Linked DNA regions of Arabidopsis thaliana. The protein of the gene in region 3 interacts with the protein of the main gene of each other region in a pairwise test. Each region holds a gene or a part of one and is shown on either strand. Other genes may lie near its edges.

Region 1 (10,278 bases), on a different chromosome or scaffold from region 3:
GATTGCAGTTGTGCATTTTGGAGAATGCCTTGCTATCGCAATAGTAACAGAGATTATGCTGTCCTCAAGCGCTGCTGTTGGTTCTGTCTGAAATCATGAACATTAAAAAAAAACCAGAAAACTAAGCAACGACACAAAAAGAATGATTTTACTTGCTGAGTTACACATAGATAGTGATCTCACCTCCAGAAGGTGATAAATTCTTGGAAGGATATCCATTCTGACGAGACCAGCAGCAACATCTTGTCCGGCTACAAAAACATCTTTCTGAATAGTATCCGTATCTTCTGTCCCGTCATCCAAGATTTCTTCACGGAACGCAACAATATTGGAGGGTTTAGCGCTGTACTTCCAGTAGCAACCACGGAGGAAGCCAAGATCAATTTCCGGCTTACTCCTGAACACCGAGGCCGTGAAGATATCTTTCCCGTGTGGTCCCATGTTCTGGAAATAGAAATGGGTTTTATCAGTTTGAACATGTATAATCACGTTCTATGAGGACTATAACTTCTTAGGAGTGAGAAAAATCAACTATACCTCCAGAATATTAAAGAAATTCTCGTTAAGAGAACAGCTCAGTAGACACTGAATCACTTTTACACATGCTATAACAACAGAGGCATGGTTGTCATCAAGAGCCATCCTAAAGAAGAAAAGAAACTTATATTGATAAGAACAAACAATTTATGATTTATGAGTGACAACTTCACAAATAAGTCTCAAAATTACACCCATCAGGAAATTACCTCAATGCTAAGACAAGCTCAGGTTCCGGTCCAAGGGCATAAGCCCAGATGGCTTCCCAGTCAGTGGATTTATCTTTTTCTTCCCTTGCGTAGCCTATTCTGCTTTGACAAAGTTTGTTCAAAGCTTTGTCGAGTACAGATGCAAGCAGATGCAAAGCAAGACATCTCTGCCCGGGAATCTGATATATATATCAATAATACATACAAATCAATGAGCAGTGATAACGAAAAAAACGCAGTCTCAGCCTACAGGTTTTGTTCAGCTAAAGCCAAAATGGAGGGAAAAAAGAATTTAACCATTAATTAGCATCAAAATTAAAATATGTGGCAATCATACATACCACACTTCGTGCAAGAGCAATAGCTTCTTTGATAGTGTAACCTGCGGCCCCAGGATCCCCCTCGGTTCTCAAGAAATCACGTTCGGCAGCAGATTCAACACCAGACCACTTTCCACCTGTACAGTCAAAGTGTAAGCAACCTAAGATTGTCATGTGTTTCAGTTGTATTGTTCTACTCACCAGTTTCAGCTGGCGAGACAACATCTTCCTCAACAACATTCCCGTCAAAAGAAAATCTCAAGTCTCTGGCTGCCTCAACCCTCTCAGTCCATGCATCCCACACGAATCCTTGGGCTATCCCTGGCTTTTGCACCACACTTTTTTCTTTCGGTATTGCCATCACTTTAGGAGTGACAAAATGACCCTCAGTTCTTGAATTCTTTGCTGTTTCATCGGTGATGGAAACCCCCTGCACAGAATGCTTTCGCTTCTTCAATTTTGCCTCACCTCGTTTCTTCAAAATGGAGAGTAGTGCAGGATCCATCTTGTCCAATAACTCAGCCTGAGCCTCAGCAATCTCGTCGGGTGACATTGTCTGCAACTTTGCATGGTTCTCAACATCAATATCACTTTCAAGAGACGAAGACGCGTGTCGAGTCCCAAGTCCATTCGAAACAGCTAGGGGAGGAGAAGCGTTTAAAGGAACCCTTTCCTTGGTTCCCAAATTTTTAATAAACGGTGCTTTATCAGAAACAAACTCTCTCTGGTCTGATGCCCTGGCAGCCAGTAAAGTGTTGCTGGATGTAGTGGCCGCATCGGCTGAAGCAACATAGGGCGGTCTCGTTTCAATGATCTTAAGTTTCCTTGATTGCTGAGGGACATGTGTGGATGCAGGATCATCCCCAGAGACCATATCTTTCCACCTCCCGAGGTCCATGTCTTTCTTCTCTTTTCTTTGAAGCGGTTTAGCAAAAGCAGCAATGGAGTCTGCATTCATGAAACGTTCTTCTGCTTCTTCTTCTTCCTGATCGTCATTGTAATCCTTAGGTTGTGCTATGCTGCTTCCCACAGGAGCCAAATGCTACAAAATCAAACATGAGAAACAAAAATTAGATGTCTCAGAAAGCTGAATTACAAGGTCAGGCACGGTGAAAAATTGTGGAGTCCCAAGTACTAAACAACAGTAGAAGGTGCTTAAAATCTAGAAGAAGGCAACAAAAGGAAGATGGAAACCTAAAAAGCACGCACTAGAGGATTGGATTGGCTTACGGGTCCGTGAGAACGATGACGAGCGACGGGGAAGGAAAGAAGGGAGGGCCTTGGGGGAAGCGGCTTGCTTGGAGGCTTATTCTCCGATATTCCTTTCTCCACGATGCTCCCGACAAGGCTCGCCAAGACGTTGTTCGGCTGTTCCGGATTGACTCTCCCGCTACTTTGCTCCATCACTCTAAACCCTCTCTCGCCTCCGCTCAGCAAAACGGAAAACTCTTTAAAACTCCGTGTCGTCCCGATAGCTTATAAGAACAAGTAAAAAATAACAAGAAAACCCCTTTCTGACTTTTTAATTATAAAATTGGAACATCAACTTTAATCCTGTGCAAAACAAACCATATAGTCATAGTCTATATTTGAACCAAAAGTTGTCGCTTTAGTGCAATGAAGAACATGATTAAATCACTCAAGAGACGGGTATGTGATGTTCATTCAGTTTTAGGACTTGGACCATAATCTTTGTAAACTTGGTAAATGAGCTAAGGAATTGATTTGTTAACAACATTTCAAAACTCCACATAAGATAACATTCTTGTTGCTATTACCACATTCGTCTTCGTAGTCAGACAAACAAGAAACAACTACAGTCTCTACAACCATTGATTTACATTCTTCTATTTTCAATCTTAATCTCTTTCCGGCGTCACTCCCGTTACTCTTCTTGAACTCAGATTCCCTGCATACGACCATGCTTTCTCTGTTTCTCCCACTATTCCCTTCTCTCTCGTCCCATTCCTCTTCACTGAATACAGCGGCGGTGCTCTCCTCGGGCTTCTTGATGCTACACTTAGGGCAGGCGTTGCAAATGGTGAACCGTGCGGAGAGCTCTGCACAGAGAACGCTTTTTGAGGGTTGAGTCCATTGATGCTGAATAGGGATAGCGATTCTGTGACAGAGATGGATCTTCTCATGGCATCATCAACATAAAGCACATCATCTATTCTGGCCGTGATGTTGAAGGCCATGCTCTCCATCACCCTAGAGTAACTCTCCAGAATTGATTGCCCTACATCCTGCAAGAACACACACAAACTCTTAAATTATCTAAGCATCGTTTCATGATGCAACCAGCAAAGCACACTCCAAACTATAATGTACCTTGTTGTACTGAATCTTGTTCATGTCCAGCGTTGTCTGGGGAAGTCCCGGGAAACGGATCCTGAGACTCTGCAAGAGGGTCTCGGCTCTCTGCACAAGGAAATCATTTCTTTCGTTGTCATTAACAAGGCCTTTAACCTTGCCACCCCAAGAAGACAGCTTTAGTTTCGCCTGCTTCTTGTGCCTCCTCCCATTCTTTTGTCTCCAAACATGCACAGCCGCCTCAATCCGGTTGGCGATTTCAAGAGTCTGATGTTCCGATGAGAGATCAAGACAGTCCAGGAGGCATTCGGGAGAGAACTTGTTTGCAGTTAAGTACTGGTAGATGATCTCTCCAAGACATTCCTTCCCGCTCTGCATTAAGTTTAAAATCATAACTCAATGAGCTAATCACATATAACGGTAAAAGAATTTATGCTCCAGCAGCAATGAAAAAGCTAATCCTTGAGCTCGAGAAGGCGCATACCTTGGGCAAAGTCTCCAAGTAAGGGTCGGGAATCTCCATTTCGGCAAGCACGCCACTGTTAATTGCCAATGCAGCCTTGAGAATCTGGTTAGCAAAGTCCCGACACTGCTGCAGTTTCTTCCTGGCCTCTTCTGACAAACCGTTAGGCGGAACCTTAGGGCAAGGCAGCCACCACTTGTCCTCCTGCCTAACGGAAGCTGGAGAATTGTAAGAATCCTTGTCACAATCACCAAGAACTATGCCGCGATCAGTGTACCAGAACTCAGTATCGGAGAAAGCGTCAAGCATATCGATCAACATAGCATCGAGCTTCTTGAGAGCAGGGAGATTGGCATAGAGATCAGAACGTGGACGGGTCTCCATGATCTCATAAGTTCCGCCTCCAGGGAACTGCTGAATGGAAGGAATGAGCTCAACGATAGAATCGCTAACACAGAGCAGCCACTCAAGTTCTCTGCGCCACATGGCCTTCTTCTGAGGAGCAAGAGGCTCAAGCCTCCATAGTTCGCCAAACACAGTCGCTGTGTGGACACTAGCCTTATTAAAAAACTAGAAACCCCTACTATATATACCAACTAACAAAAAGGGAAGAAGATTGAGATGGTACCAGAGAGATTGGTGATGGCGTTGGAGATAGCAAGCGCCGTACAAACCCCTTTACCTCCACCAGACATGTCTTCCCCGAGAAGTAGCTTAGCAAATCTCTCCTTCATCATCTCAATTTCTGAAACCCAATAGGAAACAAAAGGGAAATTGAATCCTAGTGTTCATCAATGTTTACAAAAGAGGTCAAATTTGGAAACTTTTATACCGGATAAATCGTTGTCTGGTTGTTTGTCATCCCAGACCACATCTTTGCCGCCGATCACCGGAAGCATGACTGGGGCCGGGAAGTAAAATCCTCTACCAGCGACAACTCGAGGGGAAGAAGGGATGGAGCTAGAGGCACCCTCGCCGTCGAAGCGGTGGCAGGAGAAGCTGCTGGAACTCTCGGACTCGCTAATGTCGGCGCTGGGACTGTAACTTCCGCATCTCTCGGAAGAGACTTCGTCGTCTTCCTCAGAAGATAAGCTCCCCATTATTGAAGCGGCAGAGATCTAATAACGGCTCAAAGAGTCCACATTTGGGTTAAGAGACAGACAGAGAAAGGAAGAAGAAGGAAGTGGATGTGATGATGATGCTTGTTTGATAAAAAGCAAAGCTCAGAGAGAAAGAGAGAGAGAGATGAGAGATAACAAATAAAAAAGACTCCTTTCATTTCCTCACTCACACTCTCTCTCTTCTTTTCTCTCCCATCCATCCATACTCACGGCGTTATCCTCTGCCGTTAGGGACAGGTATGAGGTTGGTAACAGATAAACCGTTAACTCACGGTCGTCACATTTTTTAACGGCGAGATTAAATTATATCCCACGGCCGTTCTCATAAGAGGAGCATGCGCTTGTGTTATATCAACCGTTGGATATTAAAAGTGAACCATCAGGATCTTTTCTACAGAGCAGAATTGAGAATCTCGAAGCGACCGAGAAAATAAAGAAAGGCTGACATTGTGTGGACTAGAAGTATTCCTTGTCGGATCATCAGACTCTCTCGTACCACACCGGCCTGAACTACGTTGCACCATATCTATCCTCGTGATTTTACGCCACGTGTATTACGCCCATTCGCCTGATCTACACTGTCCATAGTATTCTGGCGTCATTAAAGTATTCACATCGTACGGTCTAGATTGCGTTTGGCTTACTTATTTCGTGGATTCCGCTGTTTTCGGTTATGGTTTTTTCACGCAACGAATCTAAGCCGTTGATTATATTACTCTTCTTAATTCAATTCATTAAAGTACCTATTTAATGCCCTTTGAATTCGGGTTAATATAGTAATCTACAATATTAATGTCACTGATCACTAGAATATGCTATGGATTGGTGTTGATTCACATGCATGGCTTAATTAGTTGACTCTCTGCTCTTTTTTTTTCTTCTCTAAAAGGCTTTTAACCTTCCAAATAAACGTTTGTTTGTCTTGGCATTATTAGCAAATCTTTTCCATTGCCATGTTTTTCATTCGATTGACAGCCTTGTAATTTGTAATTGCAAGGTCAACAAAAACTTTGACCAAATAGAACAACTTTCTATACCAATAAACATTCTACATCTACCGGTGGATAATAATTTAAATTTTTATTTCATCGTTAAAGTCTGTTTATTCGAAATTAATGTTTCTAATATGTTATGTATGGTTTTTTTTTTTTTTTAATTTACTCTCTCTCTTCAAACTATACTATTTTGCTTGGTGATATGGTAGAGTTACTTGGTTGATTCATATGAAAACATTGCATTTGCCTACAAAAATTAACTTCAAACTTAGCAATAACCGTTACAAAACAGTAAAATTTTCATCAAATTTGGGTATACATTACAATTTTTGAAGTATATATAATAATTGTGCAACATATATCTAGCTATTGAAATTATAAAGAATAAAGAACTCAATATAATAAAATACATATCCCTAAATCAGCCATTGACGATTGGTCTGAGTAGAGTCATTAAGGAGTGGTGTGTTTATTGGAGGCTCGGCCACACAACAAAGCATTCTTAGGCAAAAGATATTCATCTCTAAGAGAGTGTGTTGGAGAATAAACTCGAAGGTAGAATTGTTGACCCAAGTATTGCCTCGCCCAATATTCACTCCTTAGATTCCACATCCCCACATTGTCCAGTGCCACATATACGGCTGTCCAAGATTCTGGATATACCTACAACAACCAAATACTAGTTTTGAGATGATTTTTTAAAATTTTTGGTAAGATATATGGAGTTAGAAACTATTTGTACCTGAGTGGTGGAGCGAGAAATAGCATCCCTAAGATTATACTCTCGTCTGCTTGCTTTTGACCATGTTCCTCTATCCGTCCTGTGGACAGTACTCACAAACATCAGATGCATGCAATGCATTATTACTAGCTACTATATATAGAGGACGATAGATATAGCTAATCTTTAATTATTCTCACCCAACAACCCAAAAACTATATCCATCGAGGTGGTAGCTTTGGACGATCTTCTCGCGGTTTTGAAATATGATTTCAAGGAAGTCTCTATGGTGTGCTCCCATCACTGACGTCTCCATTCTCATCCCTCTTCCTCTTCTCGGCTTGTCAGGTATGCTTCCCATTTTGAAAACGCCTTTGATCTTGAAGTAATCCGCAAGCTTTAGCGGAGTATCTCCAGGTACAAACGACACTCCGTTTATGGCGTAGCGTTGCTTCCTCTTCACTAGTGCCGCTGAGCTTTCCAATATCAAAGTCCTAGAAATCTTGATTCGACCATAGTGGTACGAACCCTGAGGGTTAGGCCTTGGCCCAGACGCGGTTAGATTGGTCCTAATGGACCGGGCTTGTTTGATAGACCAATCTAGTTCATCGGCAGGTTGTTGAACATGGACTGAATTAGCAGAAGATGAGTGGCTATGTCTTGAGTTGGAGTAGTGGATAGTAGATGAGACCAAGAGTTTTTTGGCGACAAATTTTGTGGAGACGACAATGTCATAGTCTTGGTCAGGCTGGTCCATGGTGACCAAGACCGAGTAAGACTGTCCAACGTGAATGTCGAGAGAGGTATACATGGACTGGACTGTGTGTGTTCCCTCTACCTCAACGAGCTTCATCTGATGACCTTGGATTCTGAAATTCAGAGTGTGTTGAAGCCCTACATTCGATATCCTAAATCTGTATGTTTTACCTGATAATTGTTCCACAACAAAAAATAAATGATGAGATAATATAATGCTTTTCTTCGTAATCAAAGTATTTGAGTGTTTTTAGGATGAACCTTTGTGGACGGTGATGGAAGACATGTAACTGACTCCTTGGCCATTGATCAAAACCCCTTGAGGCAAAGGTAGCTTGTGTCCTCTATCCAAAATTGCCTTCAAAACCTGAATAATGTTACATTTAATTATGGTCCTTGTATAACAATGACAAATACTAAAACGAACATAATTTGTTAATTCAAGAAAGAAATACCTTGTGGTCATGCTTAAACCAATCACCAATGAGGAAGGTGAAATCTCCAGCGGGTTCAGGGAAAGGGACGGGGATGCGAGGGCGGCTGAGGATACGGAAACCGCCAAAACCACCGGCAGCTTTGTGAACGGCGAGGGAAGGGAAATAGAAGAAACTACCGATCTGGTCTTTGACTTGGATGGCATAAGTGTAGTTTTTACCCGGTGGGATTGGACAAGTCGTCCCATACACTCCATCTTGGTAAGAATTCTTCCTCAGTTGCACTCCGTTCCTTCATTAGTATTTACCATTTTGTATTATATTAATTCATTGATATTATATTAACATGAAAACTTGACGTCTCGCCACCAATATAATCTCTAACAAGAATGTGAAGAAACAACACTAGTGCATGCAAATTGGCTCCATCATGCCATTTACCAAACTCCAATATCTATTTCCTCTAATATAACTAATGAATGAAAGAAAATGGTAGAGAAGGGGAGCTAGATAAATGGTACCAAGATAAGAGAAAGGGCTCGTCGAGATCGTTGTGAACATTGATGATCAAATTGTCATTGGTGACTGAGTAAATATCGGGTCCTGGATATTGTCCGTTTATCAGGATTCCCTGCGTGTATGAATAGAATATAAAGCATGCATGATCGAGCAAACAAAAACAGAAAGCATCCCGCCATTTTTGTGGATGTTGGAAAAAAAAAAAAATACCCTTTGAGGAATGCCAAGTGGAGAAATGTTGCCGTAAGTGACTCTCCAGTCGAAAAAACGGTAGGGATCATCAGCTTGAACAAAAGAAATGATGGATATCGTCATCATCATCATCGTCCAAACGGCCCCATTTAGCCACCAGCACATACTCGCTTTGACAAGAAGAAGAAGAAGATAAAGTTGGAAGAGAAAGCTTCAACTCTGTTTTGTAGTAACGGAACAAATGACTCTGGTGTCGTATTTAAAGTCCAATGGGGAGGGGGAAGCTTTTCCAATCAGCTAATTCCGTGTTTTTATTTCAACCTGTAATATATTATAAGGCCACCCCACCTACTAATTAAATACCCATTATTTTGTCCTTTGGGTTGGGGATTGTTATTTTATTTTTTTGAAAGAAAATAAAATCCCAATCCGGTGATGCATTGATTTTTATTTATTTTTTATTTTGTTAAAAATAAGCATTCTCATTTAATTGCAAGGTATTTTATTTCATTTTTACTGTGAGGTTTATTTTATTTTAAGCTGCTTCAATATTTTACACAAATGAGAATTAACATATAATTATATAAATTTTATTTTATTGTATCTGCTTTTTTTTTTTTGGGGTGAAACAATTTGAGTTGTATTTTGGCACAAATAGCCAGCCTACACGAGAAATATTGATTGAACGCGTAGAGAATATGAAGAAGCAATGTATGTATGTATATATGCTGGAAGTATAAAATAATACTAGTAAATTAGTAATAGTCCACAAAATTCTTATTATATAAACACAAATTTCAACGGTCAACTTGGTAACCCAAATTGTCAGGTATACGAGTGAGAATTGAGAAATGATATGAAAACAGCTGGAAACACAAAAAGTCACAGACTGTCTTCTTCCCGTGAGAGTCTGAGAGGAGACGTCGATCTCCTTTTCCCTTCACTTTCATACACAGACTCTCCGTGTCTCTGGCTGCTCCTTCCCCTTGAACTTTTTCCTATTTTCCGTGATTTCAAATGGGCCTTTTGGGCCCTTTTTAGTCAGCCCAAACCTAACTAAGCAGAACCGTTTCTTGCTCAGAAAGCATGGGTTTCTTCTTATATGTTTAATGGGTTATTGGATGCCGGTTTTAGGGTTTTAACGTTTTTTTTTTGTGGTAAAATTTAGGGTTTTAACGTTTCATACATACATAGGTTTTTTTCACTAACAGATGAAAACAACAGGTTTTAAATACTTGAGGATTTCAATGTTATAATAGTATGAGTTATTTAAGATTCAAGAGTTGTTCAATTCGAAAAGTTGGCATTTCACTGACACATAACGAGGTGGACAACAATACAAGAAGATGAAAACGCAAGTGGTAAAAGCGAAAGTAAAAAAAAAAAGGGTCTTCTTATAACTAGGTTTCCTTCTTCTTCTCATCATTGGTATGACCAGGAAGCTTCTCTTTGATCTTTTCCATAAACCCTTTCTCCTTGGCCTTGTCATTATGAGGTTCAGCTTCAGGCTTTCCATTGTGACCTCCGGGAAGCTTATCCTTTATCTTCTCCATAAACCCTTTCTCCTTCCCATCCTCATGGCCTATACCCGCAGGAATCTTCTCCTCTGTTTCACATTGATCTTCAGCAACTTCATTCTTCTTCTTCTTCTTCTTCTTCTCCTTCTTTTCCCCATTTTCACCCGCTTCCTCATCACTT
Region 2 (10,278 bases), on a different chromosome or scaffold from region 3:
GTCTCAGTAGAATCAGAAGAAGACTAAAGTTTGCGGTTGGAAAGAATCCATGCAATGCTCAACATGACTCTGATCCTGATCCTGATGCAGATGCATTGTCGTCTAGCATGAGTCAAAACTGTTGTTTGGGAGAAGAGATAGAGACCAATCCCGGGTCGGATGGAGAAATCTTGCCTGACATTGCTTCAAAAGGTGAGGCTAATAAAGAGGATACTTTCCATGAAAGTGAAAAAGATTCCAAGAAGAGTATGTGTGGCATATACATTGCTGCCAAGAAACACCTGTCTGAAATGCTTGCAGAAGGAGACATAGATGCTGACTTACCGGATAAAGAAGTACCAAGAATCCTTGGGAAGATTCTTGCTCTCCCTGAGTTCTTCACACCAGAAAACAGTCCTAGAGTGACCTTGGCACTTGATCATCAGATAATCGAAAAACCAAATATTCAGCAGTGCAGTTCAAAAGATTACTACTATGAGCCACTTCGACTGGATTCAAACAACCATGAAGAAACAGAGTTTATGCCAGTTCCGGAAGGTGATTAATTTTCTTCTTTTCGTTTGATCTGATTCTTTCTCAGCTTTGTCAAAATGAAACTAATTGCTTTTGATTTTGTATGTCAGACACTAGGATGGAAGAGGAAGAGCAGACTGTTATGGATTCGTTGTCTGAAGCAATTAGCTCTTCCATTATCCAACAAGATGCATATATTGATGAGGATGAGCACAAACAACTTTTGGAAAAGGTTTGATGAATCCTTTCTTTTGTTGATGATACATATTTCTTGAAGGAAGGCTCATATTTCCTGCTTTATCATGTTTTCAGGAAGTACTCAAAGAGGGACAATCACCGTGTTCTCCACCAAACTCTTCAGTGAGAATGTCTGAATGCCAAGAAAACACCACAGATGTATTGGGAAAGTCAAGTCCTGTATCTGTGCTTGAGCCTTTCTTTACAGATGATGACACTAGTCCAAACAGCTCCAGGTTCTCTTCAGGTGTGCCTAGAAAGAATTTGCAACACCATTTCAGCATTCTAGTAAAACTTTTGTTCAAATCTTAGTCTCTGACCTTCTTCATTGCCTCATATAGCCGAAATGCGGATGCAACCACTGTGCATAAGATTCGACGAACCTGATTTTCCAGGACCGGAGAAAGACAATGATGTCAAAACAAGAATGGACGACAAGGAACTGGCACTTGAATACATTCAAGCCGTGGTGAAATCATCAGAGTTGAACTGGGAAGAGCTTTTGGCGAGATCTTTTTATTCGGAGAAGATTCTTGAGCAGGCTCTAATGGATGACATAGATTTCTGTTCGACAAATCTCTGCAGCGATAAGAAACTCCTTTTTGACTGTATCAATGAAGTTCTTATGGAGTTTTGTGGACATGGCCCTTGGATTTCATTCGTCAAACCTGCAATGCACTTTTTTCCAGACATGGAAAATGCTGTTGAAGTGGTACAAGAAGAAGTTTACTGGCATCTCTTACCTTTGCCATCTCCTCACACACTAGACCAGATAGTGCGGAAAGACCTGGCTAGGACTGGAAACTGGATGGATCTCCGCTTTGATATTGGTTGCATCGTTTCTGAAACAGGTGAAATAATCCTTGATGAACTACTAGAAGAGATAATCAGCAATTGCAGAGACTTGGTCCAACCTGAAAGAATCAACAAGCTGGTTCCTTAAATCCCACTGCTCCAGATCACTACCAGAAAGTAAACTTTTGTTCGAGAAAGACACTCATGGTCATCAAGAGGCTCCTCTGTTTACTCTGTACAGGTTCACGTCCACTTCAATGGACAAGCTCTAGTTTTCAGTTTTTGTGCAGATACACACAACCACAGCTTTTAATACCCCAACGACTGCAAAAGAAACTCTTTGTCTTGTTTCTTTCAGTCCTTATTATGTTTTCTTTTCCATTTGGCTTCTGTAAAGTTTTGAGTTCTGTTAGTTGTATGTTGTTGTTATATGAGGATTAATAAAACAAGGCTTGAACTTAAACAAGAAGACCATCTCTATTGCTTCATTGTGTTTCAGTCAAGAAACAATCCAAGACAAAAAAAAATTGACAGATTAAGCTCTTTGGCAAATTAGGGCCACTAGTGATGATTAAAGAACATCTGAAATTAAAGATCTTCTATCAACTGTGTGTGGTTGAAATTCTTGTTCACCCTCATTTGGTATTATTGGTTCAGAATTCCTTTTAAAGATTCAGAAAATCATAAGAAAAAAACATACACATTTGTTTGGTATTCTCATTACATCCCAAAGAACTTAATCTGTTCTCAAAAGAAAAAACTCAGTATGAAAAACCCTAATCATCTCTGTTTCTCACTGTTCTGTCGACGTAAAGAACATCATCAATCCACGACACAACATTATAAGCCAAACCTTCTAAAACCCTTGAATAGCTCTCCAATACCGCCTTTCCCACATCCTAACCAAAAAAATAAAACAACACACAAGAATATTCAGCATATAATTTCGATATTTTCCATCGATATCTTAATTAAAACAATATGCAAAATGGCTGGGGCTACTCACTCGGTTAAACTGAATCTTGCAGATGTCAAGTGAGGTCTGAGAAAGTTCAGGGTATCTCTGTTTCAGACAGAAGAGTAAGCTCCTGGCTCGAGCCGCAAGTATGTGGTTCTTGTCATTGCCACGATCTGCATCGCCACTGATATCTTTCATCATGTCCCATGAGGACTTAGAGTGAGTCAATCCTCCAGTCTTACGCCTCCACGTAACTAGTGAAGCCTCAACTTTGTCGGCGAGCTCAAGCGCCTCATGCTCAGATGTGATCTTCAAGATGTCGAGAAGCTGGTCGGGATAAAACTTCTCGGCTGTGCACAGTTGCTTGTAAATCACGTCTCCTACACTTGCTTTCCCACTCTGTACATAAAATCAAACAACACCGAGTTGATTTCAAAACTTTCACATTACATTTATATGGAAGTCGCAAGTTATCCTTTTATACCTTTGGAAGAGTGGTGAGGTAAGAATCAGGAATATCCATGTCATTAAGAGTGGAATCGTTAATGGCCAATGCTGCTTTATGTATCTGACTGGCACAATCGCGTTTGTGACGCAAATGCTTTCGTTCTTCTTCAGATAAACCTTCAGCAGGAACACATGGCACCGGAAGCCACCATTTCTCGTCTTTCCGTTGAACCACCACTTTCCTAAACGTTCCTGAATCTCTACCACCACCACCCGAGTTCATCGATGAGCTTCCTCTTTCAACATACCAGAACTCGTTTTCCGTAAAACTATCCAATATTTCCTACAAAAGTCAAACAAGTCGTGTTGGAAATCTTTTGAATCTTGATTATCTATCAGTCTAATTCGAGTCTTATACTTACCATTAGCATGTTATCGAGTTTTCTCAAAGCAGGAAGACTCATGAGAATATCAGATCTTAGCTTTGTTTCTGTTATCTGAAATTAAAACATCAACGCACCGGTTTTTTAGCGTTTTAAATTGTGTGTGTCAAAATTAAGATAGTGTTGAAATAGTATTTTACCTCAACGTTAGTACCAAGAGATCTTGGAATAACTTCGACAATGTAATCACAAATAGACATGAAACAATTCATCTCTCGTTTCCATAAGTCTTTCTTCTCTGTACTCAATGGTTGTAACCTTAAACTCTGTCCAAACACAGTCGCTGCAATAACACAACAAACACACGCTACACTATAAATACTCTGTTTTGAAAACAGAGCATATTTGAAAAGAGAAGAAGAAGACAAACCATAGAGATTGGTTATGGAGTTTGACACAGTAACAGCAGTACAAACTCCTTTCCCACTTCCTGACATGTCTTCACCAAGCAACAGCTTCGCAAATCTTTCCCTCATCATCTCTAGCTCTGCACTAGAAACCCCGATTTAACGAAATGACAAAAGAAGAAAGTTACAATCTTAAACACTTTACCTGCATCTTCTGCAGAATCAATGTCGCTGTCTTCTTCGTCTCCATCTCCGTGGACGTCGTTGACGACATCATCTTTTGGTTCCTCGGCGTCTTCGGAGACATCTTCTTCATGGCCACTCAAGACAACAGCGTTAGTGTTTGACGGCCGGTTATAAAAGCTCTGAACGTCGAACCGGTGAGATAATCCGGAGATATCTGAGTATGTTCTCCGGTACGGCGAAGAAACAGAGCTCGTCGGAGTTCCCTCATTTTGGTCGGAATTCGAAGAACTCTCCATCACGATTGTGTATAATGATCAATGTTTTTGGTGAGTTTCAAGTTCTTCTCTTTCGTTGTTGGCTCCTCTGGCTCTGATGAACGTGACAAAGATTAATACATGGAGTCTCTTCCTCTTCAGCTTGAGTTATTATTTAATGACTAAAAATTAAGTTATGATTGTCTCCGACGAATGATGGCCGTCCGATCTGATTGTGGGGGAGAGACGTGCCTTCCACATTTGGCTAATCAAATCTCATAATGAACGTTAGTTGCTATATATGCGTTAGGTGTATAATTAATAAGTAAAGGTTGTCCCATTCATTTCTAATTAAATTCTAAATGACATTTACACCATGTTATTGCAATTTTCAGAGAGTAATGTTACTATTGGAATTATTATTTTCGGTTCACATGTTTTTAGTTACAAATTATTAATGTAGACATAACAATTAGAATCACATCGTATAAATGTCATTTACTAATTTTTTTTTGTAGACATTAAATATTTTTAGATCATTTTAATAATAATAATCTCAAATTTGTAATTGTCATCAAAATTAAATCGGATTTACAACATCTTTTAATGACATTTGAGTTTGTTTTGTAACGAATGTTTTTGGTCAACTTTTAGTTGACATTCAACGTAAACCCTCGAGACAAGGAAGAAGGTTCAAGCCAATGAAGCCATGGTCAATGTCTAAGACTTTACTTTGGTTTTAAAACCGGGATGAAGTCCACGTCTACAAGAGTAAAACGGCACGCAGTTTGTGAACACTGTTTTCAAACGACCATAATTAGACATCACATCATGCGAACTGTGTCTGGTCAGGCAAGTCACGTGACTATCTCCCTGCCTTGCCTTGTGCGCCGCAGAGTGCATCGTAATCTCGTGATGGTGGTGGTGGCACGTGCTTCCCTTCACACGTTTAATGAGCCCGTCTCTACTCTTCAATTGGTTTACGCACACACGCATAGTTCGTGCCAAGCCTTAGCTTCACACACTCCTCTTTCTCTCAGACACGCTCGAGCGCTACACACGCGCGAAAGCTCGTCTTCCAATTCACGCTGCACGCTCCTTCACGCGCTTCCTCCATCTCACGGCCAGATCCGCCTCTTTTCACCCGCCGGAGATCCACCGTCTTCTTCTCCTCTCTCTTGGTTTCGCTGACGGCGACAGAGGGGGAAACCTTTGATCGGAAGCTCCATTTATAGGGTTTTTTAGTATTGCTCGATGATTCGCCCAGAGGGCCGAGAATTCTGACCAATTTCGAGAGGAGGCTTGTGATTGTTGAAAGAATTGTGCTTAGTGTCTCTTACTCACAGAGGTCAATGATATATGGTTAGGTACTTAATCTCAATTGTGCTTGAAATAGTCTCTGTTTGGTTTCGTTAGTCACAAAAGTTTTCCATTTTAATGTCTGCAAATATGTTTGTAGTTGAAAATGCTGTTTATATGTTTGATTTTTGTCTTGTAGGATCTTTGATGAAGTTAAACTGAGAGCAGCTTATGCACATTGAGAGATTGAAGATTAATTTCGTTGATACTAAAATTATCTCCAATTTTCTAACTAACTGTAAGCAAGGAAATATCATAGAATATTTGGCTGCATTGTCCAGAAGGATTACACGTGGAGTGTTAAAACCAGAGAAGTAAAGATGGAACATTTCATCATAAGAGGGCAATAACGTTCTTAAACTAACAGAGGTTTGGGTGGTTGGGTTATAAGAGAAGTAATGGCGACGGATATGCATAAACTGCTTGGAACTAGTGAAGAGGATGATGACGAAGAAATGGACATGGATGTGAAGGAAGAAGATGATGGAGACCGACGAAATAGAGACAAACACGCAGCTTCAGGCAGTAGTAGTAATGACGAGTTTATGTTTCAGCAGTCAATGCAAGATCAAGTGGGCACTCCTGGGGGAGGAGGAAGTCGCAGAAGTAGACCGCTTGAAGAGAAGGAGCGAACTAAGTTGAGAGAGCGCCATCGAAGGGCTATAACTGCAAGGATACTAGGCGGGTTACGAAGGCATGGGAATTATAACCTGAGAGTTAGAGCTGATATTAACGATGTTATCGCGGCTTTGGCAAGGGAAGCTGGATGGGTTGTTCTTCCTGATGGAACTACTTTTCCATCCAAATCTCAGGTACTTATATACCCTGTCCCTGTGTTATGTCTTTTGTTGTATGCTGCAAAATTCTTCTACTCTTAGTTGTCAGAAATCATTAGCAGTAACCTTGATCCTCGGTTGGGGAAAAACTCCTGACATATCCATTACCAGTGAAAGCTAAATCATCTTCTTGATCTGCTCAACCTTTTAGGGGACAAAGCCTACTGGTGGTTCTTCTGCGGTTGCGGCAGGTTCATCAGCTTCTCACATTGCATCACAGCAAACCTCACCTCCTGCTCTTAGAGTGGTATCATCTGGGCTTAGAAGCCCAGTGGAACTCAGCTCTTGCCGTATGAAAGGTGTTTTCACACCCGCTCCATCACCGTATGATATGCTCCCAATCCAATCTCCAGAACTGGTTGGCAGTGTAAATAAGGCTGAGGGGCTTGTTGGTTGTTCAGTCGATGTTATCAACTCTAAACAAGTAACGACACTTTACTAGTACATAGAAAATAAATCTTGTAACAGTTCAGTCCTTTGCATTTACATAGCTTATTTGAAATTAATGAATTTGATAGTTTCCTCAACTTGAGAAAAACATTTTCAAAATCTGAAAATCTCATAAGAACCTGTCAGATTTTCACTGCATGGTTGATTTACGTGCATACACATATCTGGGTTCAATTGTGATGACTCTCTTCCACTTTTGGTATTTGGTAGATTCTCGAGATTCCTCCAAATCTGACGGAGCAAGATTTCTCTGGCACTCCTTATGTTCCGGTTTATGTGATGTTACCAGTAAGCCACTTTAATCTTAGCATTTACCAATAATATCCTGAAATTCATCCTTACTAACTACATATCCTGTTCTGTCAACAGCTTGGGGTTATCAATATGAAGTGTGAATTGGCTGATCGAGATGGACTGCTAAAGCACTTACGAATATTGAAATCAATCCATGTTGATGGGGTTAAAGTGGATTGTTGGTGGGGAATAGTTGAGGGTCATTCCCCCCAGGAGTATAATTGGACTGGTTACAGGCAGCTTTTTCAGATGGTCCGCGATCTTAATCTTAAGATACAGGTCAGTCTTTTACCTGCATGATTGGTTAAGATACAGTTTTCTTAATGAAGTTGCGTTAGAATGATTGTTCTCAAGCTTCATATGTATCTCACTTTCTTTCTTTCTTGCTAGGTTCTAATGTCCTTTCATGAATGTGGAGGCAATGTTGGTGATGATGTTTGCATCCCACTTCCTCATTGGGTGGCAGAAATAGGACGAACCAATCCGGACATATATTTCACTGATAGAGAGGGAAGACGAAACCCAGAATGCCTTTCTTGGGGTATTGACAAGGAACGTATTTTAAGAGGCAGAACTGCACTTGAGGTATAGATACTGTGTCCATGCTGTGTCTTTTCTTTACACATGAATATTTGCTTCTTGTTATCACAGATATTTGAAATAACCAACTCATGAATCACTTTTTTGGTGAATTTATTTCTAGGTGTACTTTGATTACATGAGAAGTTTTCGGATAGAACTTGCAGAGTTTCTAGAGGATGGTGTAATATCTATGGTTGAAATTGGACTAGGCCCCTGTGGAGAGTTACGGTACCCTTCTTGTCCCATAAAACACGGGTGGCGATATCCAGGTGTTGGAGAGTTTCAGGTATATTTCCTTTCAACAATCTAAATTCTTGAGATACTCGAGCTTCACCAGCTAACTTACCTTTTTGGCTTCCACATGATGACCATTCCTTTGCACCGGTACAGTGTTATGACAAGTATCTCTCGAAGAGCCTGAGAAAGGCAGCAGAATCAAGGGGGCACCTGTTTTGGGCTCGAGGCCCAGATAACACCGGCTCCTACAATTCTCAGCCGCAGGGAACCGGTTTCTTCTGTGATGGAGGTGACTACGATGGCCTCTATGGAAGATTCTTTCTCAAATGGTACTCACAGGTTTTGATAGACCATGCTGACCAAATCCTCTGTCTCGCTAAACTAGTCTTCGACAGTAGCTGCATTGCAGCAAAGGTGATTGATTTAGTTTTCTAAGGCATTTGAAACCCTGTAAATTTTAGACCTTTTGTCATAATTTCATCACAATTGACTTAAACAGCTCCCAGACGTCCACTGGTGGTACAGAACAGCAAGCCATGCCGCTGAGCTAACCGCTGGATTCTACAACCCGAGCAACCGAGATGGTTATTCTGCAATTGCATCTACACTTAAGAAGCATGGTGCCACTCTGAGTTTTGTATCCGGAGAAGTGCAAGTTCTAAACCGTCCAGATGATTTCTCAGGAGCATTAGGAGAACCTGAGGCAGTAGCTTGGCAGGTAAAGAATACACATCATATCAGTTTCTTAAGCCTGTGCTTATCAGTTATCTCCAAAACCTCAATCTAAACGTGATTTTTTTGCAGGTATTAAACGCTGCTTGGGACAGCGGTACACCGGTTGCTCGAGAGAACTCGCTTGCTTGCCATGATAGAGTTGGTTATAACAAAATGTTAGAAAGCGTTAAGTTTCGGAACGATCCAGATAGAAAACATTTGTCATCATTTGCCTATAGTAGACTCGTCCCAGCTCTCATGGAAGGACATAACATTGTCGAATTTGAGCGGTTTGTCAAGAAGTTGCATGGTAATTCTATCGGAATCTTTGTTTTCTCTGTTTGAAGAAGTCTCTGAAGTTTCTGATCTTTCTTCTTTGGTCGTTACAGGGGAAGCTGTAATGAATCATCATCATCATCATCATCAACAGGTTTAGAGTTTTGTTTTGTCCCTGGATCTGCTGAAATTATTTACTGTTAAATGTTGTTAATTTTAGTAGCTTACCATCATTTCTGTAAATTTTGTCATTAAAAAATTAAGGCAACTACTGTACAAGCTTACAAAGAAAATTCAAATAATATGGGCTTTATTATTATTGGGCTAACATCAAGAAAAAGAGATCAGCACCGACATAGCTCACGAGGCATTCTTCCTAACGTAGAAAACCAAAAGGTCCCACATCGACAAGCATAAATCAGATGTTTGTGTATATATGTTTTATAAATAATCAGTACCACCAACCAATATTCACTCAAGGATTATTGGGCCTTTTAATTTTGTTTGCTTTTTTCAACGGTTTTTTTCTTTTGTTTCTTCATTTTCCTTTAATTTTTGTTTATAGATATTTTTTAGTTTTTTTTCAAATACTAGGTTAATTTGACGTTGTGAAATCTAAGCGGATTTAGGATCCGGCTAATTAATTGTGGTCATTAGCGATTCCACAAATCCAACATATTTTTCACATCTTCATGTATATTTAGTATTTATTTTTTTTATTTTATTTTCTTAAACGGTTTTCAAATTCTTTTTTTTGTTTACCTTAGTTTTTGTTTTGATTATTAATTTTATTTTAAAGTTTTATAAACTAAACTAATACGACGTTTTGAAAGCTAACTGGATTTTAGATCCCATCATTTAACCATAATCATTAGCGATTCCACAAATCCAACATATTTTTTGCATCTTCATATATTTTTAACATTTATTTTTTATTTTTTTATTTTAAAGGTTTTCAACTCTCTTTTTATATATTATTTTTTAAGGTTTTATAAAATACTATACTAAAAATACGGTGAAACGTTCATGATTTTGTATTTTGGCTTTGGCTAAACTGTCTTGATTTTTGTTTATTAGCCATACTACCAACTTCTACAGTTGAGATTAATTTATCATCATTACTCAACGATGGAAGTAAGCATCTTAATATATATGGTTTGTTGGCTATTTTGGTTTATTCTGTGTCAGAAAATTACTGTTGAATTTTTAATAATAAGAACCTCAAAAATAACCAACGCACGTAAACGTCACCGCCGTAGAAGCAAACACTGCATATCTACAATCACAAGACACAAGGAACTAAGGAAGATACACTTAATGACCAAAAGTCTATTAATCATACATTAGAAA
Region 3 (10,278 bases):
GTTGGTGTCAAGTTGATAATGACGCGATATTCTGAATTTTTTTTTTGTATTATCGTAGATCGTAGTATTACTTTTGTCTTTAGTTAATACATAATGGCCATTACATTATATAATTTAGTCTAAATCAGTTATGGTTTAATTTGTTCCGAGTTTCTTTTTGCCACAAAATTAGTTAACACAAATGTCCACTAAAATAACTATAGTCCGCCGAATTGGGAGCATTATTGACCTGTGTAACTCAGTCAAAATCGGCCTAAAAAGTGTGACAATATTTTTTTTTTAAAAGTATGCTAAGAAATTAAAAGCCGAAAAATAAAAATGGAAGAAATATGAATTTAATTAAGAAAAAGTGGGGACTGGGGAGAGTAAGCACATGGGGTGGGAGAAAAATCTTTCTGGCTTTACTTTTGGGAATTACGCAAAACTCTCTTCATGTGCCATTCTTTACTTTTTCCCCCACATAATTCCATTTTTTTTTTCAAGATTTGCAATCTCATCGAAATTAATGGCTAACAACACATGATGAATATGATTGATAAACAAACATTTTCATGAAAATTTGGTGCATATGAGCTAAAATGTTGAAGACAAAAAAATATATACATAATTGTGGCTGAAACGATGGGTAGATGTAGGGTGTGAGCAAGAGAGACACATGCATGATGCACCCAATATAGAATCTTATAAAACATTGGCTAGATGAGATGGACAAAGTCCATTTTTACTCTTTGTAGTCCAAATAAACCGAATCCGGTTACAAATCCTAGTATTTAGAGTTCATAATATGGTTGTTGTAGATGCATTAAGAATATGATATATTTGTAAATTAGCTAAAGGTTTATGTACATTTTAGATTTCCTTTTTAAAATTGTTAAATAAAGCAATGACATGGTTGTAACTATTAAAATTTGTCAATGGTAAAAAGAAGTTCAAAAGTGTTACTTTTCTTAACACGCGTTGATAGTGTTATCCTTACAGCACTTTTTGTTTTGTTTGAATGAGCTAGTTATTATACTTTATAAGTAGTATAATCTCGAATAAAGAATGTGAAATTTTGAAGAGGAAAAAAAAAGGTTGGCTACTTGGGTCATGGTTGGTTTAGATTAACGAGCCCTCTCCCTGCTCTTCCTGTCATTCTCTCTTCCCCATACCCAATAGAAACTTGTGTGTTGTAACTCCGATCTCACCAACTCAAATAAATAAGTAATCATGTTCTTGTTGTTTCTAATTTATGACTTGATGTGTAAGTGTCGCATATCTTTTAACCTTGTCCGGTTTATATATTTCTTTTGCTTTCTTTTACGAAGGAAATGGTCTTAAGTAATAAAAATATGCTTTTATCTGCCTAACAGAAAAGCCTGCTTTCACGTCAAAAAGAAATCAAGAAAAAGTTGCTTTTTCCAAAAAGAGCTAAAAAAAAAACAGAGAGAGGTACACCGGAAAAACAACAACAGAAAGAGTTACATTTAATTTGGCCCGATTAAAGCCCATTTATGCTCTTACAGGCTCTCTCGGACCCATTGACATTTGTTCTATTATGTTTAGATGAAACTCGGCGTTTTTTTTTTTTTTTTTACTCCGTTATTTATTTGCCTTTGGGACTGGTCTGGTGAGTCCAGTGGTCGTTTCTCGTGTACTCGAGTCTCATCGGAAAGTCTTCGACTGAGTTCGTCGCTTCCATCTTTTTATGGCTTAATCTCCTTTTTTTGGTCAGGTGGAAGATAAAAAAACCTTTGGAACTGCTGTCTCAAAATCTTGAAGACAATGTGTCATTGGAACCGACTGGAATTAGCCTGCGACTACTGAAATATGAGACTCTTATGTAGAAAGTTTTAATGTCTATGTCAAGAGAGACAAAGTTTGGTCAGTTGTACTTTGAGGACAGTGATTTGACTGACACTGGACAATGTAACGACAAGAGATCAACATTAACAAACAAAATAAAATTACTTGATTGCTAATGTAGGACAATAACTGCTTGTCTTCACAGGGTTAAGCGAAGGAAGAGAGAGCTTCTCTGTTGTATCAAAATGGCTAATATATTGCAATAACAGGTTTGAAACAAATAAACACAATTGAATTAATAATAAGCTCTCTACCTCCCCCTCTTTCTCTCTTCAAGGTAACTATTGATTGATTAGAGGCTAATAATCTCTTACATGATTCAATCTATATAATATAAAGTCTCTCGTTTATCACACAATCTCAAAAGTGGAGTTTAAAATCATCAGACTGAGTTGGGTCATCGTCATCAATGCCGAGTCACTATCCTCCCACACAGAACATTTCTGCACATACAAAATAAACACAAAGGTGAAATCAGTACCCTTCATAAGATTGTAGATGCAGAGTTTGTAAAGATTTGTATATATACTCACGATAAACAGCCGTGATTCGACTTTTGCTTCTTCTTCTTCTTAGTCTTCTCCTTTTGTTTAACCAGAGGTTTGATCACTTCCTTTATCGCAGAATCAAAAACTGCTTTCACATTCTGCAATATATAAACTTCATCGCTTTGTTAATCCGAAGAAAAGAGTAACATAAAGAAGCTGCCTCATATACCTGTTGAGTTTTTGAACTACACTCAATGTAATACGTCGCACCAATTAGCTTACGCAACTCCTCTCCCTATCAGATAGAAATGTTCATTTAGTTAATACCATCAAGCCTTATAGTGGAATTATATGAAATCTAAAGTAAAAAGGCTCTTTAAGACTAAACCTGTGCAGTAGTTACAGGGGATAGTCCAGGATGATCAGCCAAATAATGCTTATCTTCACGAAGATCTACACCAGTGTTGTAAGAATCATTAGCTATGAATTGTAACTAAACGGTTAAGAGGAATCTGTTGGTAAATGCTCATCGGTTATTCTTACCTAATTTGGTACCAACAAGGACAAGGGGAACTCCTGGAGCAAAGTGTTGGAGTTCAGGGATCCACTGACTCAATAAGAACAGTCATATAACATTAGAAATGACTCATTCTGACACTATAAGAGTCTTATCGTTTTCAACAATTAGAGAAAAGGATCATTTATTCAATCAGACCTTTTTAAAAACATTCTCGTAGCTAGCTCGGCTGACTAATGAGAAAGACAAGACGAAAACATCTGCTCCCCTGTAACTTAAAGGCCTTAATCTGTTATAGTCTTCTTGCCCTGCAAACAAAGGATATACATATGTAACCTCATATGAGACAAAGCTATTCAATGGATCTCATTTATCAACCAAATGAAAGAACTAGACCAATAAGAATGTTATAAACCACTATAGGATTCAAGACTCAGAAAGAGTGTTCATACCAGCAGTGTCCCAAAGCCCCAAATTGACAGTGGTGCCTTCAACAACAACATTTGCACTAAAGTTGTCAAAAACTGTTGGTATGTAGTCCTGTTACAAACAATTCATCAAATCAATACACAGTTTCAAACTTTCAATCATCAAATCAAGCATATATACATATAATAATAATAATAATAGCAATGAAGAAAAAGTCTGACGAATCCAGACTCCAGAGGATGTTAAATGAAAAAAGATAACATAAAGCTGGACTATACACAAAAGCTGCAAAAACCCAGATGCGCCACACATACTTATGAAAAGTAAAAAAAATCAAAATCTCCAAAAATGGATCTTATATCATGCACAGTTCCTAGGAAAAAGGAGCTAACTTTGACATACCCAGATAGATTCTAAGAACCTTTATGGCAATAAGAAGCTGAAATTTAGTAGACCCAGATACTGAAATTGATTAAAATTTTGTAAAATTTGAGCTAAATCTGATAAATCCAGATGAGATTCCTGATCAAAATTCAAGAGAGAAAGAGAGGTCTTTTTAAAGAGAACTTACAGTGGGGAATTTATTGCTGGTGTAGCAGATGAGCATACAGGTTTTACCAACAGCACCATCACCAACAGTCACACACTTGATGAACTTTGAAGCACTTGAAGCCATTTTGATCTCAAAACAAACATACAAAGCAAATACCAAAAGGAAGCAAAAGAAATAGAGAGAGAGAGAGAGATAAATGAAGTGAGATTACTTAAAAAGAGGAGTAAAAGATAAATAAACCCTCTTTAGAGCATAGAAGAAGGTAGGGTTTGTTGCATAAATTTATGGCTTTTTTTTCTGTTCCTTTTTTACTTTTTTCTGTTTGTTTTTTCAATATTTCCAATTAGATAAACGAAATTGTTTATTGGTATTTGGTGGCTTGTTTTTGGTTTGAACTTGAAGATAGAGAAAGAGCGGTGATGACTCACATGATCCATCGTCCAAGCTTTCCTTTTCCAAATTCTTGTAGTTCATTTATTACTCCAACGAGCAAATTTGCATTGGAATTTGTTAACCAAATCTTGGTGGTTCAATCTTGTTTTTTTTTTTTTAAGTGTTTATTACACTTGTATTGGATTGTAAGAAAATGAAATAATGTGTATTACATACAAGTATGGCGTTACGAATCGAATTATAAGAGAAGGTAGATATTCGTCAAGTTAATAATAGTGTCACGTTGAGCCACACAGTGACAAGTGAAGATGGATATACCATATTTGTATACATTAACATGTACTGTCGAATACATGTTTTGCTATTTTTGTTTTTCTCTCGAGACTTACATATCATATAATGTATATAGCATAACTTACAAGCTAGGGTTACAAAATATATAAAATAATAGAATATCATAGCAACAAAAATTTATAGCAAAATCACTAAGACCAACCTTTCAACATTACTTATATCACAATTCACAAGTGTAAAACTGATAATTCTAAAATTGTAATTTTAGTTTAGGATATTCATTTATTATATTAGGATATATGGATTTTTTTATGTGGACCTACTTTTAAAAAAACTTATCATCTAATTTAATTTACTCAAGATATTTAAAATTGCCAACAAGAGTTTCGTTGGCAACAACCAGCAATAAAAATTCTCAATATTCACAAAGCAACTTTTAATACAGTTATTAAAAATTGAATACTCTTACCAAATAGTTCCTTTTTGTTTGTTTATGGATATAATTGCAGACTCATGGTTTAGAAAGTAAAAGTGTTTTTGTCATGTGTTTAAATAATCATTTATAGGTGGATGTTGGAGCCAAACTGTGTGAACATCTACCAAAAGCAGAAGATAAATGATTTTATTTTATAAGGTAAGTTAATTATTGGAGTAATACCTACGACTATATCGACGGCGACGCAACCACCATAAATATGAAAATGCAAAAGTATTGTTAACTAGAGAGGTCTTCAAAAGGACGACCACGGGAACTTATCGCTCTCTGGTCCAATATTTTAGTATTTTGCAAGTTATTTCCACCAAAAGCTCCAAAATACAAGTACAAATTAAAGTAGCTGATTAATAATACAATACAATGACAAAAGTATGGCCTAAACCAGATAAATATAGAGACTAGTAAGAACGAAAATCGCAAAAGGAGACTAGTAATCACATTAAACTAAATCAATATATGTGTATGTGTGTACAAGTGAATCCATAACTTTTGGTCTCTAAGGAAGACATGTAACAGGAGCATATGTCGTGCTGGTGTAAGGATAGCGTCATTGAAAAGAAACAAGAACAAACGATAAATATATATTTCCACAACAGTTGATGCGCGTAAAAGCAAAACGTGATTAACAGTGGAAATTATCCATAAAGTGAAAAAGACTTGAAGATCACAAATCCGAGTTTTGGCAGTAAGAAATATGGTTATTGGATTTGAAGTTGGGTTAATATTGAAAAAGTAAAAGTTTTTTCGAATATATCATATGAACTCAACAAACAAATGCAACGGGCCCGACAACTCAATATATGGGCCACATCCGAAACGAGCCGACCCACGTAATGGAAGTCCCTTGCCAGGTCACGTGTTTTCTCCCTCTTTGTTCCTATCGGTCCCTTCTTTTATTGTTTTCTTTAATTTGCTGTTTCTTTTGGTCTTATGAATTTTGAACCATTCTTATGAATCTGAAGGTGAATCGATTCTTCGGTACAGTTTTCTCTCTAGAACATGTAAATCGTTATGTAGTTCCTTAATAAATTGAGAGAAACGAAAAAATGTATTTGAATGTTTTGATCAATGATCGTCATTCGTTTATGGCTTCCAATAGAAAGGTTTGAAGTTTGAATTGGGAAAAGTGTTGTTGGTTCATTACATACTACCCCAAACGATTGATAGTTTCTTCTCTTTACTCGGCTTTAACGGTAACTATATCTTTGGAAAACAGAAAAGTTTTTGAGTGGAATTTTAAAAATGAGTATAGATTATAAAAATAAAGAAATCATGTCAAGCAACCATGATTAACTAAATCATTACTTCCACATATGCTAAACAGCTAATTTACATAAAATTATATTATATTAGCCACAACAAGTTCAATATCCCCTCAAAAAAGAAACAAAATATTGCTTCTCTTTCAAGAAACATAAAATTTGGTTGATAAATAAATTAATTAAACTGGGAAAATAATAAAATTAATTCAAAGTTGATTATATAAACAGAATGATTAAATAAGAAAACGCGACAGACTCCAAAAACGATGTAAACCAAACCAGTCAACCATTTTGACAGCCTTTTCCCCGCCGCCAGAAACGCAAACGCGTTTCTCACACGCGCCCACTAACTTTCAATGATCTCATTACGCGGCGTCAACGCAGACAACGACGTCGGCGAAATCGCCGGAGCTTTACCTGAGTAAACCGGGACAGAAGCGAATCGGGTCGAGAAGCTTCGTAATCCACCTAGTCCGACGTATTCATCCTCCTCGTCGTCGTCATCGAAGTTCAAAGAGTAACTCAAAGGATCGTATTGAAACTTCTCGCTTGCGTCCCAATCGCGGCCGCGTCGTGGATCGCGATTGAATCGACGAATGAAAGTCTTCCACCGTGGACCAGCAACGATTTCTGACCACTCTCGGATCTTCAAGGATGCTCGGATCCACCAACGTGGCTCGTCGCCGTGGTCGCCGCTGTGATTACTGTCATCGACGGTTCGAATTCGTCCCCAGGAGGAGTAACCAACGGCGGTGGAGCTTCTTGATCGGCGGAAGCTGGGGAAACAACAGCAACGTTGATCGTACCGGGTATCAGGATCTCGGGTTGGGTCCGACTGCGAAAGTTCCATGGGCCGAAACTCAGAGAAGTTTTTTCTTGGGTCAAAAGACTCGTGATGATAATATAACTTGATTCAAGTTTTAGCTGTAAAGGATTATGATTGGTCCTATTTATTATATGCACACTTGACACTTGTAATATAAATTAAGAAATTGTTATTTTTTCTATGTTATTATATGCACACTTGACACTTTTACGAATCATGGCTGTAAATATTAAAACCTTAGAAACTCAATTATCGATCAACACGATTGAGAATCATAAAAAGTGTTAAACAATTTCTTAGGCTGGTGAAAACGAGTCTTAGAAAAAATAAATATCTTGAGCTAGAATCCGTTATAAGATAGTTACTTTCCTAACAATGTTTTTAGGAATACACTTGATAAAACAAAATTGATATTTATTATAAAAACTACTATTCACTAAGGGAACGAGTTGAACAAATGTGATCCGGCGGGTACAACAAACTAACATTTCGGATCATAGTACGAGGGGTACAAAGATTGAGCAGATGTCACTGTCTTTGGCATTATCACAATCTCACCATTAGGACTGACACCAGCGATGCAATACCTAATTTCTCAAATATCATCATCTTAGACCATTCTTGTTGCTCAATATGATCTTCCATAATCCACATCTCTGCACTAGCTTTGGTGTAACGTATGCATCCTAATTTTCCTTGGTAGTTTACCAAAGTCAATTCATCGAAACTCACTTCACTGAGCTGCTGATTCATCTGCAGAGTTATGGGCATCTGAATACGATCAAAGCTTTCGTGTCTAACGTCGAACCTCACTAGCTCATAGAATTCGGGATCATCCCAGCTTTCTACATGTGCTATGTAATAGATAAACTCTTTGATACATAAACCACTACTCCTAGCTTCTGGAGAGTGATTCCAAATGCCTTGGATGTCAAGGCTCCTCCATTGCTGCTTCATTGGACCTCCCACTAATGTGAAAACTTGTTTCTCAACTGGATCATATCCGAACAATCCATCACACGAGTTGCTCCATCTATCGTGTTTTACCTCCGGTAATAAAATCGTTTTCCTATTGGTATGTTTATAGATCGAGCTTGACCAACAACAGAAGAGTCCTCGAAAATTATTGATACTTAAAATCCCAACTTCGCCCATGGTTTAATGTATAATTACTGTCTTTGTCTGGGTATATGAATGATATATCATTAGTAGGATAAGTAGAGGGCGAGAATAATGACCGAGTCATGATCAAGAGGGTGATACGAGATGACCACAGCTTCGATACACATTGGAACCTCACAAGTGACTTAACAGGGAGTCTCGAGAGTATATCGGTTATTACATCGAAAGGGATATGTATACCGTTTGAATTTTCTCTCTCGGAGATTTCGTTCTGACGTTGTTGTCGTCGTTTTGGAGATCGTGAGGTCTTCTTCTCTTGGCGTCCTCTCTTCATGGTGTCAGTTTTCTATTTCATTAAACTTGAACGAAGAAAAACACATATATATTTTTGGTTTTTGACATTTTTTGGGGGTTTATGACATTTGTTTTTTTGGATATTTTCTATATATTGGCAATACAAAAGAGTTTATAAGCTAAGCAGCCCAGTTTCATGTCCCATTAGGTTTTAGATCTCAAGTCTTAACCGACCTACATTTAAAGGGAAAACATTAAGAAACAATGAGAGATTAATTTAGTATTTTCGATTGATGCGCCTCACACTGAAACCTGAGGCTTGTGTGTTCTGTTTCTCTTCATCTTGATTCAATTCGTTTGCAGTTTCGTAGCTTGATGAGAAAGGAATATTAAGTGATTCATATATAGCAAAGTGTTTACATAGTAAACCTAAAAAGAGAGTAAAACTAAAATCTCTTCTCTTTATTCATCAATACAAGTTGCTATTAACAAAGTTTTTGGTTACAGCACATATTCACTTGCTTTGTATTATTGTATATACTATACAAGATGCTCTACACAACATTTACTATGACATGAATATGAGACAACAAACTCTTTATACATAATGAAGATGTAGTAATAGTAAATGTAATTATGTTTGAGAAAGAGAAAGAGAGAGAGAGAGAGAGACAGAGGTATTAATGTGAGTGAAGAGCCGGGTGTTTCTCATGCATGGGGTACGAGCGGAGTCAACGGCTTCATGGCTCAAATTTGAAACCACGTGTCATGCGTTTGTTACTCTACCCAGATTCTGCTGATTCACAGACTCACTATTAAAATCCACTTTTTCTTTTTTCTCTGTTCATAAAGCAGAAACCAAAAATAATCCAAATATCAAAAAACCAAAAACAGAACCTAGAAACCACACCAAAAAAAAAAAAGCTATTTCATCAAACAAACAAAACTCACATCACAAATCAGAAACAAACAAAAAAGAAACGCAGTACTAAAGAAAAAAATTATAAACAAGAATCATCGAAAAGAAGAATCGAAATCATCAACATATTTTGTTTCTCTTCTTCTTTTATTTTTATAAAATATAAATTAGTTCTTTGATAAAATCTGTAGAAGATAAAGAATTCTTCTTTAGAAACAAAGAAAAATGACGGACCCCCACACCGCCCGGACGATCGTCGGAATCGTTGGTAAGTCCTCCACAATTTACTCAAACATAAAGTTTAATTCAATCAACAACAAAAACATTTGCTCATGTCTTTGTTTGTCTGTTATATGTTTAGGAAACGTGATTTCTTTCGGCTTGTTCTGCGCTCCAATGTAAGCACACATGATGATTAAATCTTTTTTTGTTTTGTTGCATGCAATGACATATGTGAAAATTGTGCAGACCAACGATGGTGAAGATATGGAAGATGAAATCGGTCTCCGAGTTTAAGCCAGATCCATACGTAGCTACGGTTTTAAACTGCATGATGTGGACATTTTACGGACTTCCTTTCGTCCAGCCCGACAGTCTCCTCGTCATCACCATTAATGGAACTGGTCTTTTCATGGAACTCGTTTACGTCACCATCTTCTTTGTCTTCGCTACCTCCCCTGTCCGCGTAAGCCTTTAAAACCTCTAATTTCAACACGAATGATAAAAATATGTATATGCATTCTAAATTATTCAATTTATATAAACTTTTCAGACATAGGTTTGATAGCCTTTAAACCAATTGAAAATTAGTGAATTAGTGGTTGATGTTTGTTTTAGTTT

Evidence for each region.
Region 1: the proteins of RAC10 (region 3) and ROPGEF1 interact in binary tests that used the Arabidopsis thaliana proteins (3 or more experiments, as listed by UniProt).
Region 2: the proteins of RAC10 (region 3) and ROPGEF4 interact in binary tests that used the Arabidopsis thaliana proteins (3 or more experiments, as listed by UniProt).

Annotation. Positions count from the first base shown.
Region 1 is NC_003075.7:17,981,307-17,991,584, reverse strand, and holds ROPGEF1 (rho guanyl-nucleotide exchange factor 1), read right to left. Parts: upstream 5,202-10,278; 5' UTR 4,943-5,201; coding exon 4,675-4,942; intron 4,588-4,674; coding exon 4,471-4,587; intron 4,385-4,470; coding exon 3,864-4,384; intron 3,752-3,863; coding exon 3,398-3,751; intron 3,313-3,397; coding exon 2,926-3,312; 3' UTR 2,716-2,925; downstream 1-2,715. Other genes in the region: IYO (RPAP1-like, carboxy-terminal protein), read right to left, coding at 1-87, 184-444, 538-643, 747-925, 1,088-1,203, 1,268-2,108, 2,297-2,470; sks9 (SKU5 similar 9), read right to left, coding at 6,412-6,621, 6,701-6,779, 6,880-7,606, 7,697-7,802, 7,891-8,161, 8,391-8,500, 8,599-8,745; AT4G38410 (Dehydrin family protein), read right to left, coding at 9,981-10,278. UniProt on the Arabidopsis thaliana protein: Guanine-nucleotide exchange factor (GEF) that acts as an activator of Rop (Rho of plants) GTPases by promoting the exchange of GDP for GTP. Acts downstream of PRK2 in the control of polarized pollen tube growth by activating ARAC11/ROP1.
Region 2 is NC_003071.7:18,877,484-18,887,761, reverse strand, and holds ROPGEF4 (RHO guanyl-nucleotide exchange factor 4), read right to left. Parts: upstream 4,386-10,278; 5' UTR 4,223-4,385; coding exon 3,946-4,222; intron 3,881-3,945; coding exon 3,764-3,880; intron 3,677-3,763; coding exon 3,534-3,676; intron 3,448-3,533; coding exon 3,373-3,447; intron 3,294-3,372; coding exon 2,988-3,293; intron 2,903-2,987; coding exon 2,552-2,902; intron 2,445-2,551; coding exon 2,322-2,444; 3' UTR 2,033-2,321; downstream 1-2,032. Other genes in the region: TRM13 (Phosphatidylinositol N-acetyglucosaminlytransferase subunit P-like protein), read left to right, coding at 1-537, 624-745, 826-997, 1,092-1,693; BAM7 (beta-amylase 7), read left to right, coding at 5,938-6,351, 6,527-6,799, 7,036-7,113, 7,195-7,398, 7,510-7,704, 7,823-7,987, 8,092-8,352, 8,438-8,656 and 2 more. UniProt on the Arabidopsis thaliana protein: Guanine-nucleotide exchange factor (GEF) that acts as an activator of Rop (Rho of plants) GTPases by promoting the exchange of GDP for GTP. In association with ROPGEF1, acts as a specific regulator of ARAC10/ROP11 function in ABA-mediated stomatal closure.
Region 3 is NC_003076.8:25,230,913-25,241,190, reverse strand, and holds RAC10 (RAC-like 10), read right to left. Parts: upstream 4,229-10,278; 5' UTR 3,956-4,228; coding exon 3,851-3,955; intron 3,391-3,850; coding exon 3,303-3,390; intron 3,159-3,302; coding exon 3,049-3,158; intron 2,941-3,048; coding exon 2,877-2,940; intron 2,787-2,876; coding exon 2,722-2,786; intron 2,629-2,721; coding exon 2,563-2,628; coding exon of another isoform or gene 2,492-2,562; coding exon 2,379-2,491; intron 2,289-2,378; coding exon 2,252-2,288; 3' UTR 1,929-2,251; downstream 1-1,928. Other genes in the region: AT5G62865 (uncharacterized protein), read right to left, coding at 6,624-7,127; AT5G62860 (F-box associated ubiquitination effector family protein), read right to left, coding at 7,650-8,150, 8,404-8,559; AtVEX1 (Nodulin MtN3 family protein), read left to right, coding at 9,664-9,706, 9,800-9,836, 9,907-10,123. UniProt on the Arabidopsis thaliana protein: Involved in local disassembly of cortical microtubules when associated with ICR5 and KIN13A.